Alligator mississippiensis: one gene and its partner. The protein of the gene in region 2 binds, or shares a complex with, the protein of the main gene of each other region. Links are inferred from orthologs where the notes say so. Each region holds a gene or a part of one and is shown on either strand. Other genes may lie near its edges.

Evidence for each region. Proteins that work in one complex are often made in the same cells at the same time.
Region 1: E3 ubiquitin-protein ligase RNF113A (region 2) and SNRPD2 share a complex: the UniProt entries of both Homo sapiens proteins name them as parts of the minor spliceosome. The link is inferred for Alligator mississippiensis from reciprocal best matches to the Homo sapiens genes RNF113A and SNRPD2.

What each region holds. Positions count from the first base shown.
Region 1 is NC_081838.1:499,678-505,019, reverse strand, and holds SNRPD2 (small nuclear ribonucleoprotein Sm D2), read left to right. Parts: upstream 1-3,926; 5' UTR 3,927-4,032; coding exon 4,033-4,034; intron 4,035-4,208; coding exon 4,209-4,388; intron 4,389-4,464; coding exon 4,465-4,639; 3' UTR 4,640-4,805; downstream 4,806-5,342. UniProt on the Homo sapiens protein: Plays a role in pre-mRNA splicing as a core component of the spliceosomal U1, U2, U4 and U5 small nuclear ribonucleoproteins (snRNPs), the building blocks of the spliceosome.
Region 2 is NC_081827.1:158,641,982-158,649,809, reverse strand, and holds the start of E3 ubiquitin-protein ligase RNF113A, read right to left. Parts: upstream 3,047-7,828; 5' UTR 3,018-3,046; coding exon 2,918-3,017; intron 2,457-2,917; coding exon 2,380-2,456; intron 1,045-2,379; coding exon 940-1,044; intron 1-939. Other genes in the region: LIMD2 (LIM domain-containing protein 2), read left to right, coding at 3,535-3,603. UniProt on the Homo sapiens protein: Required for pre-mRNA splicing as component of the spliceosome. As a component of the minor spliceosome, involved in the splicing of U12-type introns in pre-mRNAs. E3 ubiquitin-protein ligase that catalyzes the transfer of ubiquitin onto target proteins.

The DNA.
Region 1 (5,342 bases), on a different chromosome or scaffold from region 2:
AAAATCAAAGCCCCCAGAGCTACCCGGGGTGTAACGCTGACCTGTCCAGCTCCAAGTGGCCAAGAGGAGGCCCCTCATGGCCGCTGGGTCGGGCCCAGAAGCTGGGCCAAATTGTCAGCGGGGGAAATGCTGCTGGTCTCAATCCAGAGCTCCAGCCTCTGGAGATCCCCCCCCACCCAGGGCTTCACGGGCGAGCGCTGGCCAGGATTGGGGCACCAGGGTCCCCAGGCAGCGTCAGAGAAACTCTCCCGAGGAGCTGGTTCAAACCAGTTGCCGGGTACTTACAGCACAGAGAGATCGCGCTCCTCTGCCCCCAGCCCCGCCAGCACCCCCGGGGCCAAGTGGGGTTCAGTCCCTCCTACACCTCGTCCTGCTCAGATCTCAGCCCTGGGGTAGGACCCGGTTCACCTCCATCCCGGGACCCGCAGCTCAAAACCCCACATTTCCCAGCTCCGGGGTTTTGCTTTTTGGTTTTATTTGTGAACAAAGCCGATCACCGAACCCCAGACGAGCGGCGCGCCCAGCCCCCCGCGCACGTGCCAGGCTGAGAACGGGTCGGGGAAGAGCCCAGGGCCGTGCCCAGAGGTGTCTCTCGGCATCCCCTGGCTCCTCCACCTCTCTGTCCATGCATTTCTTTTTTGCATTTCATTTTGCTTTTGCATTTCTTCCCTGCTTAAAGCCCCCTCACCTCCGGGTCTTTTCCCCTCCGGACTATGCATAGCACGGATCTCCGGCTCCGCTGCCCCACCGATTTCAGAGGCAGGATTTCGTAGGGCCGCGTCCGCCGTCCCTGCAGGCAGACGAGCTTTCCAAAGCAAAACCTTCTTCCCGGGGTCTCCGCTACCGCTTCAATGGTCTCCAGGTCCATTCTGTCTCCCCTCGAACTTGCCCTTTCCTTCAGTCACTGAACGTCTCTCAAATGTCTCCGTTCGGAAAAGATCCTTTTTTTTCAAGCTAATTCCAAATATTTCTAAGCCAGCGGCTTCTTCTTTGCCTTCTCCCTGGCAGCACGTGGACCTGCTAAGAGAGCTCCCTGGCTAAAAACTCCCTGAGCTCTTGGAAACGCGGCCTTGCGCGTCTCCCCGCTGCACGACGAGTGATCGGGTCCTCGTGACTCTTGTACGTGGCCGACGTCCCGGGACGGAGCAGCAGGGACACGAGGGGTCTCCTGGGCTGATAAAGGCATTTCTCTCTCCCCCTTTCAAACCAACGGTGGAGAAACTCCGTGGACTGGACCTGAAGGAAGGAAGGAAGGAGACTGGTTGAAAAGAAGAGTTTCTTTCTTTTTTCTCCCGTCTCTGGGTCGAGATTTTGGTCATTCTCTGTACCCTGCGAACAGTGAAAGCTTCTCCTAGGATTTTTATAGTGTAGAAATTGTGTATCATTTTATTGTGTATAAAAATTATGCAACCTTTTTACTGTGCATAAATTGTGAATCATTTTTATTGTGTGTAAAATTGTATAGCATGTTTACTGTGCATAAATTGTGTATCATTTCATTGCGCATGTATTGCGTATTGTTTTTATTGTATATAAGTTGTGTGCCATGTTTATCGTGTATAAAAATTGTGTAGGGGTTTTATCGTGTGTACATTGTGCGTTATTTTATAGTGCACATATTGCGTATCATTTTGATTGTGTATATATTGTGCATCACTGCACCATCCGGCTCGTTTCTCGCTATCCCGAGGCCAGGGTGTGGGTGGGGGGCGGACTCACTTGCGTTGCCTCTGAATGGGTATGTGGGAGCCCCGGTTGTCCGGGGACCCGTCTCCCCAGATCCTGGCCTTTATTTCCCGTCGGGTTTGAACGGCGACCGGGCAGGACGGGGGCGAGCGGCACACCCAGCAGCGCGGGGAGCACGTGGCCCGAGCCCAGCGCAGCTCTGTGCGTTCCCGTATTGCCTCACGTACAACGCGCCCCAGAATAGAAGACACCCCTTCTCCGGAAGGGCAGGACGAAGAACACGTCCCCTTGTACAAGCAGAGCCGCGGCGAGGGAGGCTTTCCTCCGCGCGGATCACGGACAAGTTTACGTCCGTGTTACCCAACCAGTGTCAGAAATCGATCTTACCGTATTTCTTGCATACGAGACACACCCCGACTGCCTGTTTTTTTCACGGAGGGGGGAGTGCATGGGGTATGCAAGAAGATATAGCATTTCCCAGGTTCCCAGGGACCCCAGAAGACTGCTCTTCCGGCCCCCGGATTAATTGCTCGTCACTGCCTCCTTAAGAGGCCCCGGCCCTCGGGGATGGGGTTACAGGAGCCGCCTGTCAGGGCGGGCTGGAGTGACAGCCCGGGGCTCGTTAAGCAATCACCTGCTCTCGGGTTTCGCTGGCGCGCTTGACCCCCGCGCCCTCGGCACCGCAGGCCAGCGAGGATCCCGGCGAGCAGCTGGCCCCGCGGGGGCGCTGGGGCAGGCATCACTCACCGGGCGCCAAGAGGCGGCACATCTGGGGCGCGGAGGGCAGCTGTTTAGACAAGCGTCACTCAGCCGGGGCCAGACCGCAGCCACCTCTGGGGGGGCCGGGCCCGGCTCCGGTCAGCTCGGACCGTTCGCATGCGCAGGGCTCAGATGCGGCCACCTCTGGGGGGCAACAAGTAGCTGCTCGCACCGGCACTGAATGACCTTGACCCCCCCCGGCACGACCTGGCCCCGGCCTGCCCGAGGGGCCACGCGCCGACCGGAGCCCATGGGGCGAACGTGGGGGCGGTCGCTGCCTGGAGCCCGCGGACAAGCGGGACCTGGGGCCGGAAGGTCCGTGCGGGGCCGCGGCTGCCCTGTCCGGTCCCGTCCCTACTGCGGGCAGTGGGGGCAGTGGGGGCGCTGCGCGGGGGGACAAGGGGGGCAGTATGGGGCGCTGTGCAGGGGGGTAAGGGGGGGGCAGTGGGGGCGCTGCGCGGGGGGACAAGGGGGGCAGTATGGGGCGCTGTGCAGGGGGGTAAGGGGGGGGCAGTGGGGGCGCTGCGCGGGGGGACAAGGGGGGCAGTATGGGGCGCTGTGCAGGGGGGTAAGGGGGGGGCAGTGGGGGCGCTGCGCGGGGGGACAAGGGGGGCAGTAGGGGGCGCTGTGCAGGGGGGCAGTAGGGGGCGCTGTGCGGGAGGGGCAAGGGGGGCAGTAGGGGGCGCTGTGCGGGAGGGGCAAGGGGGGCAGTAGGGGGTGCTGTGCGGGGGGGCAGTAGGCGGACAGTAAGGGGCGCTGTGCAGGGGGGTAAGGGGGGGGCAGTGGGGGCGCTGCGCGGGGGGACAAGGGGGGCAGTAGGGGGCGCTGTGCAGGGGGGCAGTAGGGGGCGCTGTGCGGGAGGGGCAAGGGGGGCAGTAGGGGGCGCTGTGCGGGAGGGGCAAGGGGGGCAGTAGGGGGTGCTGTGCGGGGGGGCAGTAGGCGGACAGTAAGGGGCGCTGTGCAGGGGGGTAAGGGGGGGGCAGTGGGGGCGCTGCGCGGGGGGACAAGGGGGGCAGTAGGGGGCGCTGTGCAGGGGGGCAGTAGGGGGCGCTGTGCAGGGGGGCAGTAGGCGGACAGTAAGGGGCGCTGTGCAGGGGGTAAGGGGGGCAGTGGGGGTGCTGTGCGGGGGGGCAAGGGGGCAGTATGGGGCACCGTGTGGGGGGGCAGTAGGGGGTGCTGTGCGGGGGAGCAAGGGGGAGCAGCAGGAGGTGTGGGTGCAGGGGGTAGCGGAGGGGGGGGTCGCCTGGGGGTCCCCCCTGGCCGTGGGGGGGTGGGGGTCAGTGCATTGGGAGGGGAGGCAGAACCAGACGCCGCTTCGCGCTCCGAAGCCTCTTGACCCCGCCGCGCTCCCGTAACCGCATCCGACCCCGCGACCGCCTCGCGCGCTCGCGCTACATGACTCCTCCGCCGCCCCGTACTTGTAGGCCAGCTCGGACACAGTTCCGCGTTCCACGATCTCTTGGCTCCGCCGCCGCCCCGTAGGTCCACCCGGAAGTGGGTCCAGGCCTTGGTGACCCGGAGGCGGAAGTCGGTGGGGGAGACCCGGGAGCGGCGGCGCGCGTGCTTGGGACCGGGAGCGGTAGAGCAATGTGAGGGGGGCGGGGGACTGGGACCAGGGGGAGGCAAGGAAGGGGGGGGTGGAGTCGCCAAGGAGGGGGAGGGGGGGTCCGGGTGGAGACGCCCCCCCGAGACGCCCCAAGGCGGGGGCCCGAGCCGTGGTGCGCCCGCGTGCACCCGGCCGAGCTGCCCCCCCCGCCCCCCAGGAGTCTGCTGAACAAGCCGAAGAGCGAGATGACGCCCGAGGAGCTGCAGAAGCGCGAGGAGGAGGAGTTCAACACGGGGCCGCTGTCCGTGCTCACGCAGTCGGTCAAGAACAACACGCAGGTGCTCATCAACTGCCGCAACAACAAGAAGCTGCTGGGCCGCGTCAAGGCCTTCGACAGGTAGGGGCCGCGGGGATAGGGGGGCTGCGCCCGCCCGCCCGCCCGCGCCACGGCCCTGACCCCCGCCTCCCCCCAGACACTGCAACATGGTGCTGGAGAACGTGAAGGAGATGTGGACCGAGGTGCCCAAGAGCGGGAAGGGCAAGAAGAAGTCGAAGCCGGTGAACAAGGATCGCTACATCTCCAAGATGTTCCTGCGCGGCGACTCCGTCATCGTCGTGCTGCGCAACCCCCTCATCGCAGGCAAGTGACCTGCCGCCGCCCGCCTGGGGAGGGGTCCGCCGCCCCCCCTCCCCGGGGTCGGTCACCCCGAGGCCTGGGCCGCCTCGGCCCCTGCCAGGCTGCAGACCGCGGCTAGGACTCTTTCCACCCCCCCCCCCCTTGGTTTTGGCTACTAATTAAACTATGTGATTTGTTGCCCCGTCTGGTTTCCTGGGGGAGGGGGCAGGGAGGGGCCTGTCTTGACATCCGGCTCCTCACACCTTCACCCCCCCCATCTAGACGGCCTCCTCCCCAGAGCCAGCTGCGGGGGCTGGGGAAGAGCCAGCAGGTGCAGTGGTTCCAGATCTCCCCGCCCCCAACGCAAGCCAGACCCTGGCGTGCATTCACCGACGCGTCGCTAGCAAAACCAGGGAGGTCCTCCCGTTTGACTCGGCCTTAGCGAGGCCCGAGCTGGAGTACTGCGGCCAGTTTTTGGCCCCCCACTCCAGGAGGGATGTGGATAAGCTCAGGACAGACCAGACAAGAGCCGCCCACCATCCGAGGCCTGGAGGGTAGGCCCTACGAGGACAGGAGAGGAGAGGAGAGGCTGAGGGACTTCGCCCACTTCATCCTGGAGAAGAGAAGGCCTGGGGGGGGACATGACTTGGTGGCTGCCTGTCAGCACATAAGGGGGGAGGTGCAGCGGGCTCTGGGAGGACAGTTGCTCACCAGGGCTCCCCAAGAGAGAGCAGT
Region 2 (7,828 bases):
GGGGATCTGTGCAGTATGAACCCCATGGGCCTTTCCTCCTGTCCACAGCCCATCCTACCACCATATTCTGAAGCCAGCCTCAACACAGAAACAATAAGGACACTGAAGAGGCCCTTACAATCACCTCCTGGTGTTATTTAACCCAGATCGAATTGATCTATCTTTGTGTCATGTGGTACACTCAAGGCCAGGCAGTGAAACAAGATACAGCTGCTTGGATTTCCAACATCACAGGAAGTTATACATTTCATTACGCATTTGAGAAGAGTTGTGTCTAATGTAAGGACTTGTAACCTCTCCACCACCCTCTGTTTTCAGTTGCGTGATTAGGCCACTGGAGGATGCCTAGGTTCTGTTTCCCATTCTTCCACCAACTGGTTACACAATCCTCGGACAGTTACTTTGTCTCTCTGTGCCTCAGTTTCCCCATTAGTAGAGCAGGAATAAAATTACCATTCCCCCTTGTGAAGGGCTCAAACAGGAAGAGTTGCCTGGAGGGGCAAGGCACTAGCTTCCGACTCAGGTCACCTGGCTCCAAGCTCCTGGTTCATTGCCAACCTCCTGTGTGACCCTGGGCAAGTCACTCATCCTGGAAGGGCCTCAGCTTCCCTTGTGTAAATCCTGCCCTGCCTCACAGGACCATCGCAAGGATGACTCCATTAAAGGCTATCAGACACTCTGGCCCTGCAAGGCTGGGAAAGCTCTCGAAGAGGCGAACACACAAGAGAAGCACTCAACAGAGCCATAAAACCAGGGCATGGGACCAGGATAAAGCAACCAAAATTCCCATTCAGGGCAAGAGTGTCTCCAGTAGCTCTCCTGAGGATGCCCAGTTTTATACTCTGCCAGAGGGCAGACAAGGTGACCAGCTAGCTCCTTTGGGCTCTACTGAACCTACAGCCATGCCCCCTTCAAACGTAAGCACTGTACTCTCCTCACCGCTGATCGTGTTGATTTGTAAGCGACTCCGACACCTTGCGATGCCTCCTCATCGCTGCTGCTGTTCGACCCATATGAGGTCTTCTCCTTTACGCTTCTCTGGGTCTGCAGGGGGAGAGAAAAACACTGAAAATTTAATACTGGGAAATGGAACACAACACCCAGACACAAGAGGCCCTCCTCCCACGGGGGAGGCCATCCCTAATGAGCTGACTCCATGCTGGCTACAGACAGAACTATAGCCCAGGGAGGCAAATTAATGAAACTTTGGGCACTCAGGTCTCATCAGGATCAGGCTCTGCACAAATCACTAAACTATCACTAAACTGTGGAAAGGAAGCAAGTAGCACAACAGTGGGAAAGGGGAGCATTCTAGTTACAGATACCAGGATCACACCTCCACACCACATGCATACATGGGTCCTCTCTCTCAAGTGAAAGACCTTTGCATAATAGTATCTAGAACTCAGGCTCGCAACTCGTGGAGTACGCAGATACTGCAAATACAGCAGTTCAGGCTACAGTGCACCTGGTTTGGGGACAGGGAAGTGGGCACAGAGCAGTATGACATGTCTAATGGCGTCACTGTTTGGCCCAATATAAGGACACCCTTACATCTAAGACGAGCTGCTAGAAGGGTGGCCTCCTTGAGGACACAGAGACATGAGATGTAAAGCTGCAGTAGACCAACACTGCCTGAAAAATGACCCAGGCTCCTAAAGATGCCCAGGGCGATTCTGAACAAGAAAGGCCGAAACATGGAAGAAAAGGAGGAAAACCTTTGTGCAGCCCCCAGTGCCCTTCCTCGGCCGTAGGCCACCATCAGCTACTGGTGGTAGGAGGTAGTTCATAGACCAGCGAGCAAGGGGCAATGCAGTCACAGTGCCCGAACCCTCAACCCCGGCCCATCCCGCCTGTTCCATCACAGGAACAAATGACAGGTTTGCTTCAGATCCAAGGGGTGTGCTTGCCAAGCCAAAGGCTTGTGCGTCCCTCTGTTTACTTCCCACCCCAGCCAGTGCAGCGATCCAGGGGCTAACGTCACCCGCACACGTGAACCGAGTTCTGTCACGAGTGCAACTGTGGCATCTGCCCCGCGCCGGACTGGGACATTTGGGGTCACGTGAGACACCCAAGGCCTGCAGCTACTGTGTGTGGCTCCCCACCCGCGCAGCTGCACACCCCCCGCTGAGGCCTCTGCTCCCTCAGATGTCTGAGGACTAAAAGACAAGCCACGCGAGGGCAGGGAGCAGTGGCTGCAGACAGCCGCAGCGAGGGCCAGGGTGAGCCGGCTGATGTCAGCTCCCGCCTGTGCACGAGGGAAAAGCCCCCAAGTGCCGTGGTGCCCAGCTCTTCCCTGGGGCTTTTCACAGTCCTGGGTGGGGCTGGGCCAGCTGGCAAGATGCCCCGTGCCTGCACCGCGGCGCGGGCAGCCATTACCTTCTGGACCATGGGGTTGGGGGCATCCCGGCGCCGCTCCTTGCGCACCACTGCGCTGCCCTCATCGCTGCTGCTCCCTGTGGGCAAAGCGGCCATCAGGTGTCAAGCCAGCCCGAGCGGGCCGCCCTGCTGTCCCAGGCTCGGGGGGCATCATGGCCAGGCGCCACCACTCCCAGCCCTGCTGGAGTCCCCACCCCTGCGCTCAGTGGCTCAGTCCAGACCCCCCCCCCCCGCAGTGAGAATGGGATGTCCCAGAACCACCTGCCTTCAAGCGAGGACGGCCCCAGAGAGTATGGTACAGCCCAAAATCCCCTCCCCAGTGGCAGGGGCACAGCCCAGAACGCGCCACCGCTCGGTGGTGATGGTATGGTCCGCACCGCCAATGATAATGGCACAGCTTAGGAACCCCTCCTCCCCCCGCCTGCAGTGGGACAGTCCGAACGCCCTCCTCCCGGGGTGGGCCCGCAGCCAGAGCCCGGCGCTGGCAGTGGTACGGCCCGCCCCCCCTGGCGGAGTGGTGCCGGCCGCGGCCCCTCACCCGCCTCCTGGTCGCTGCCCGGCCGCTTGCGCCGGCCCCTGCCGGCTGCCGGCCCGCGCCGCCGGAACACGAAGCTGCAGACCGGAGCCTCGTCTGCCATCTTCCCGGCCGGGGCGAAGAGTGGGGCCGCCGGACAAGCGGGCGGAAGCGGCCGCCGCGGCAGCGCCCCCGCGCGGCGAGGAGGAGGGGCGGCCCGAGGCAGGGCGGGGCGGGGTGCGGGCGCCCCCTGGTGGGAGGAGGGGAGCCGGCGCCCGCCCGCAGGGTGCGGCCTGGTCCCGCGGGCAGGCCCCGCTGGGAGGCTGCGGGGAGACAGACGTCCAATTGCGGCCGGAGTCGGGGCTGCCCTCAGCGGGCCGTGGCACAGCGCTGTCCCCTGCAGCCCCGCAGGGTTTTCTTTTGATAAAGCGCTGTTGGAAATTTCTGTTTCCATCAACCCCACTGATTGCAGAGGATTTGGGGACTTAGCGCCCAGCTCTCAGCTGCCCAAGCACCTCTCCGCTCCAGTCACTTTCAGCCGCAGCTCCGAAATGTTCGTTAACCCTCTCACTTTAGTGCTGGAAACCCCCGAGGTGGGGAGAAGCGTCGGGGCCACATAAGGTGCCAGGAGCAGCCGGGAAATGGACATCGCAGCGATGGAGACTCGGGGACTCTTAGCAGCAGGGAGATCTCCCCGCAGCTGCATGCTTGTAAGGTGGCCCTCAGCTCAGGGTGTTTGTGGGGCTGGAGGAGGCAGGGAAGGCAGGCAGGTGCGTGAGTCAGGGGAAGCAGGGTGTATCCCCCTGCCCCTCCATTCCCTCAAGCTCGTCCAGGCTCTGCTGTTTCAGCCTGCACTAGTCGAGTCGGCCCCTTGCTCATCGCCATAGCAACAAGTAGCAGAGCTGAGTGTGTGTCTGGAGTGTAACTGGATGCTGTGAGGACTGCTGTGGAGGAATGGGTCATGCTGAGGCTAGGAGGGTGGGTCCCGTGCCCTGAATTGCCCAGGGGCATGGGACGTAATGCTGGGGCTGCCCTGCATCCCCTGTCTGGGAGAAGAGACTTTAAGGGGGCTGATTTGCCTGCACCTTGTGCTGTCATTTCCACCAATGCCGGAGGAGTGCAAAGCAGTTTGCACCCTGTCTTGCACAGATGGAAATGCTGACCCACAGTGAAGGGCAGCAGAGACCCTGGCTGAAGGACGCTGCTCCTGGACTCCCTGATCTGGCTCCTGCTGGATGACCATCAGCATCTGCTGCCACTAGCAGCAGGGGGTCTCTGAAAAGACCCACTGCATTTTTCTCATCGGGTTCCTTCTGCAAAACTCTCCCCTCACATGATGGTGGGGTGGGGAGAGGACATTGTCACACCCTGGGGAAGGTGTGTTGCTGCTTCTCATTTTTTGCACTGTCAGTGAGAGGGTGGAGGAGGTGTCTCCTTTCTCAACTCCCAATGTCACACACATCCTGGATGTCTTCATGGAACAGAGGCCAGGGATGGGAAGGGTGGCCAAGGGGCAAGGACGCAGCCCTGGCACTTTGGAGTGCTAGGTTTAATTCCCTCCACTGCCACAGGCTCCCAGTGTGACCTTGGGCAAGTCACTTAGCCTCTCTGTGCCTCAGTCTCCATTTTGAGAAATGGGGATATTATTACTGCCTTATCTCCCAGGGGATTGCATGCATAAGTGTGTTAGTGGTGTGCTCAAATGGAAGATTATAGGGCCAGATAAGCACCATGGATAGAGCCAGCCTCCTAATTTTGTAGCTGTTTTCTGTTTCTCCTGTAGGATTGTCCCTAACTGGTTATTATGACCTACCATCTGGGTGGTGGTCCAGTTGTACCTCTGCAGGTTACAGGACACCTCTTTGAAAGCCAGCATTGCAGTCCAACTTCCCATGACCTCAGCTGCTGGGCATTATTTTTTCTGTTCTGGATGCCGAGGCACATGTTGATTTTAACTCCTTCAGGTTAATTGCCTTTGACTCAGGATACTTAGATGTTGATATTTTCTTTTGATGTTCTGCCCATGAGTTTCTGAACTTATGCCCCAAAAAGCATTTTGAGGCATGTTGTGATATTAAAACAGTGTTAAGGACTGACCCACTCTATATCCACTGCTTTTTATTTTTAAGTCAAAAAGAAAATCCCAGCCCCATTAAAACAATGAAGGATCCAGGATGAAGCCAGGATGTCATCTCAAGTCCTTTGCTGTTTTTACCGACTTTCCTGCTGATCTATTTGGCTTTAAGCTCAGGCCTTGACATAATGTACTTGAACCAATACATCCCAGAGAATCCTTGAAATGACCCCTTGGGAATTCTAGGCCCTTTTCTTATCTCTTATGGGAAATCCCATAGTGAGCAAACCACAGTTTGTAATGTGTTATTGCTAGTTACTTGGTATGTTTTGCAACTGTTCAATTAAAAAAAATGAGTTGTCCACCAGCAAGAGGCTCAGAATGATACCTTTTTAAGTTTCTGGTAATTTTGCACCAGCCTTGCACCAGGGACTACCAAGAATCTTATCTGATTTCTGGGATTCTTTGCATCATGTGTTGTAGTTCTGTTGTAATCTTCACCTTCTCTCCCAGGGCCTTCTTGAGCTCTCTTCTCACACTTGTTACCACCTGCAAAGGCACTGTGTATTATGCAAAGCTCGCCTACTCTCTCACTTTCAGGTGGCTGTTACAGTGACACCTAGTTAACCAAGGCATTTGAGTCTGTATTTGCTTAGCTGTATCTAATTTTACAGTCCAAACACATTCAGCTTTTACTTCCCATCAGTGGTGATGTTCTTTACATGCCACATGTATCTTTGGCAATACAGTGGAAATCTAGGGACACAGTACATTGCTTTGGTATCCTAATCCAGGAAACACCTCCATAAATTCTTTGAGAATGCTTATTCATTTTGTTCTGTAGACATATCACTTACTCATTAGGTCTTCTGTAGTTGCAAGCCCTTCTGGCATCCTGCACCACATTTTCAAGCTGTTTTGAGTGGTGGCTGACTTCATGGGGAAGTATCAGTGTCTCCCTGCTACATTTGGTATCTTGTTTTAGGAAGGAAACTCAGCTTTTATCTTAATATGTTTGTTTGTTTGTGCTTTGGTGTGCTGATTGCTAATCACTTTATAAACACGAGCTGTGACTTGGCTGTACTCACCTCCAAAGTCTACTTTAAAATTCATGCTTTGTTCAGTTCTCTCCAGGGGAACTATGGGGGAATTTGCTTTGCAAATTTATGAAGGATCCCAGCGAGGAACTGTTTCTGTGGTGTCATTATTGCATTATGGTCCTAATGGGTTTTCCCCCTGCTCCTGAGCAATCTTTGGGATTTGGTCAGAGTCCCAATTTCCTCATCTAGCACCTGGCTTCTCCTTTGAATTATGGAGTTTCTTCCTCTCTTCCGTCATTTCAGCCAGCTTCCCTCATCTTCAGGTGGTTCCAGAAGGACCTGATTGCTATGAAACATACCCCTTTTATCCTCTCTCCTGCCCATGAATCCCTCTGAATTTTTAGATTCTAGCACCGCACTGGGTGGGTTTTTTGTCCAGTTTCTAGGGCAACTCAGTTCCTTCAGATTTCCACCCTTCTGCAGAGAAGTTGGAAGCAATGGACTTAGCTGAGATTACATTTCTTTTTTGGTTTTCCCAAGCAAGATCTATTAAGCTGCTCATAGTCTTTAAGGATCAAACTATTCATGAGTAGGCAGACAGGCACCTCTCCCTGTCATTGGAGCACAAGAACATGAGGTAGTGCAAAAGGAGAGAAGGTCATAATACAAAAGACCACAGGCTATGTAGAAATTCAAAATCATAAGCTGCATATGGATCCCCAAATTGTCGCAGTTATTTCAGCTCCTCAAGAGCTGAGGAAGCACAGGAGAGAGGGATCCTGTCCCCCTCCCCTTTCTGCTGACTGGGAGGGGAGCTGTGTTAGACACCTTCTCAGAGCCTGAGGAAGGGAGCATCTCTCTTGCCCCCTGAGGAGAAGGGGTTCCTTGGGGACAATGCTTTGGTGTGAGTGTGGGATCATCTAGGTCTCCTGAGCTTTGGGAACCTTATTTCCCGACATCAGGAACATGGAAAGTCTGTGCAGGAACAGAGCTAAGGGAGGGAGCTGGCAGGAGCATTGTTCTGAGCAGGCTGAATCTGGGCCTGTGTACCTGCTAAGGGTCACCCCAACACTGTGGCTATGGGTAGCCCAGCCCAGGCCCATAATGTCATGAAGGAGAACAGCAGGCAGACTGGGGAAATGCCAAGGACAGCGAGTAACTGCTGGCATCTGTGTTAGTAGTGAGTGAGAAGGAAAATGGGGCATGTTCCCCTGGTGTGTGCCCCATGCCTGTTTCCTTGGGCAATGCTCCCAATACACACAGGTCAGGGAAGCAACTTTGATTTGAGAGGGCTGGCAAGGGGGCGGGGGGGGTGAGTTGGTGGAGAGAGAGCAAGAGAATGGAAGTGGGGGAGCACGGGACTCCAGGGGCTGGGGGAGGTCGGGCTGTAGGTTGCTTCACACAAAGGAGACTGGAGTGTAAGAAGCAGTGAGCCAATCACAGGCAGCAGCTGGTGATGAAAGGACTCACAAGGCGGCACAGGAAGCTCCAGCTCCGGCTGCAGCACAAAAAAATCATCTCCACCAGGCAGAGAGACAGACAGACAGACAGACCCTGAAGGGGAAGGAGCCCTTCTGCCCGGTGTTTCTGTGAGGAGCCCTGGAGTGCGGTGAGTCCTAGTTCGATACCAGAAGAGCAGGGCTTGGTGCTGAGCGCACTATGTACCATAAAAGAGACAATGCTGCTGGCTTTGCTTTGTGAGGTTTGGGGGTGGGGGATTTGACGAGGAAGTGGAAGCATTATTACTGTTAATTTTGTCTAGTCCCAGCCCTGCTGAGAGAAAGTGAAAGAAACAGACTGAGAGGGTGAGGGTGGAAGGTG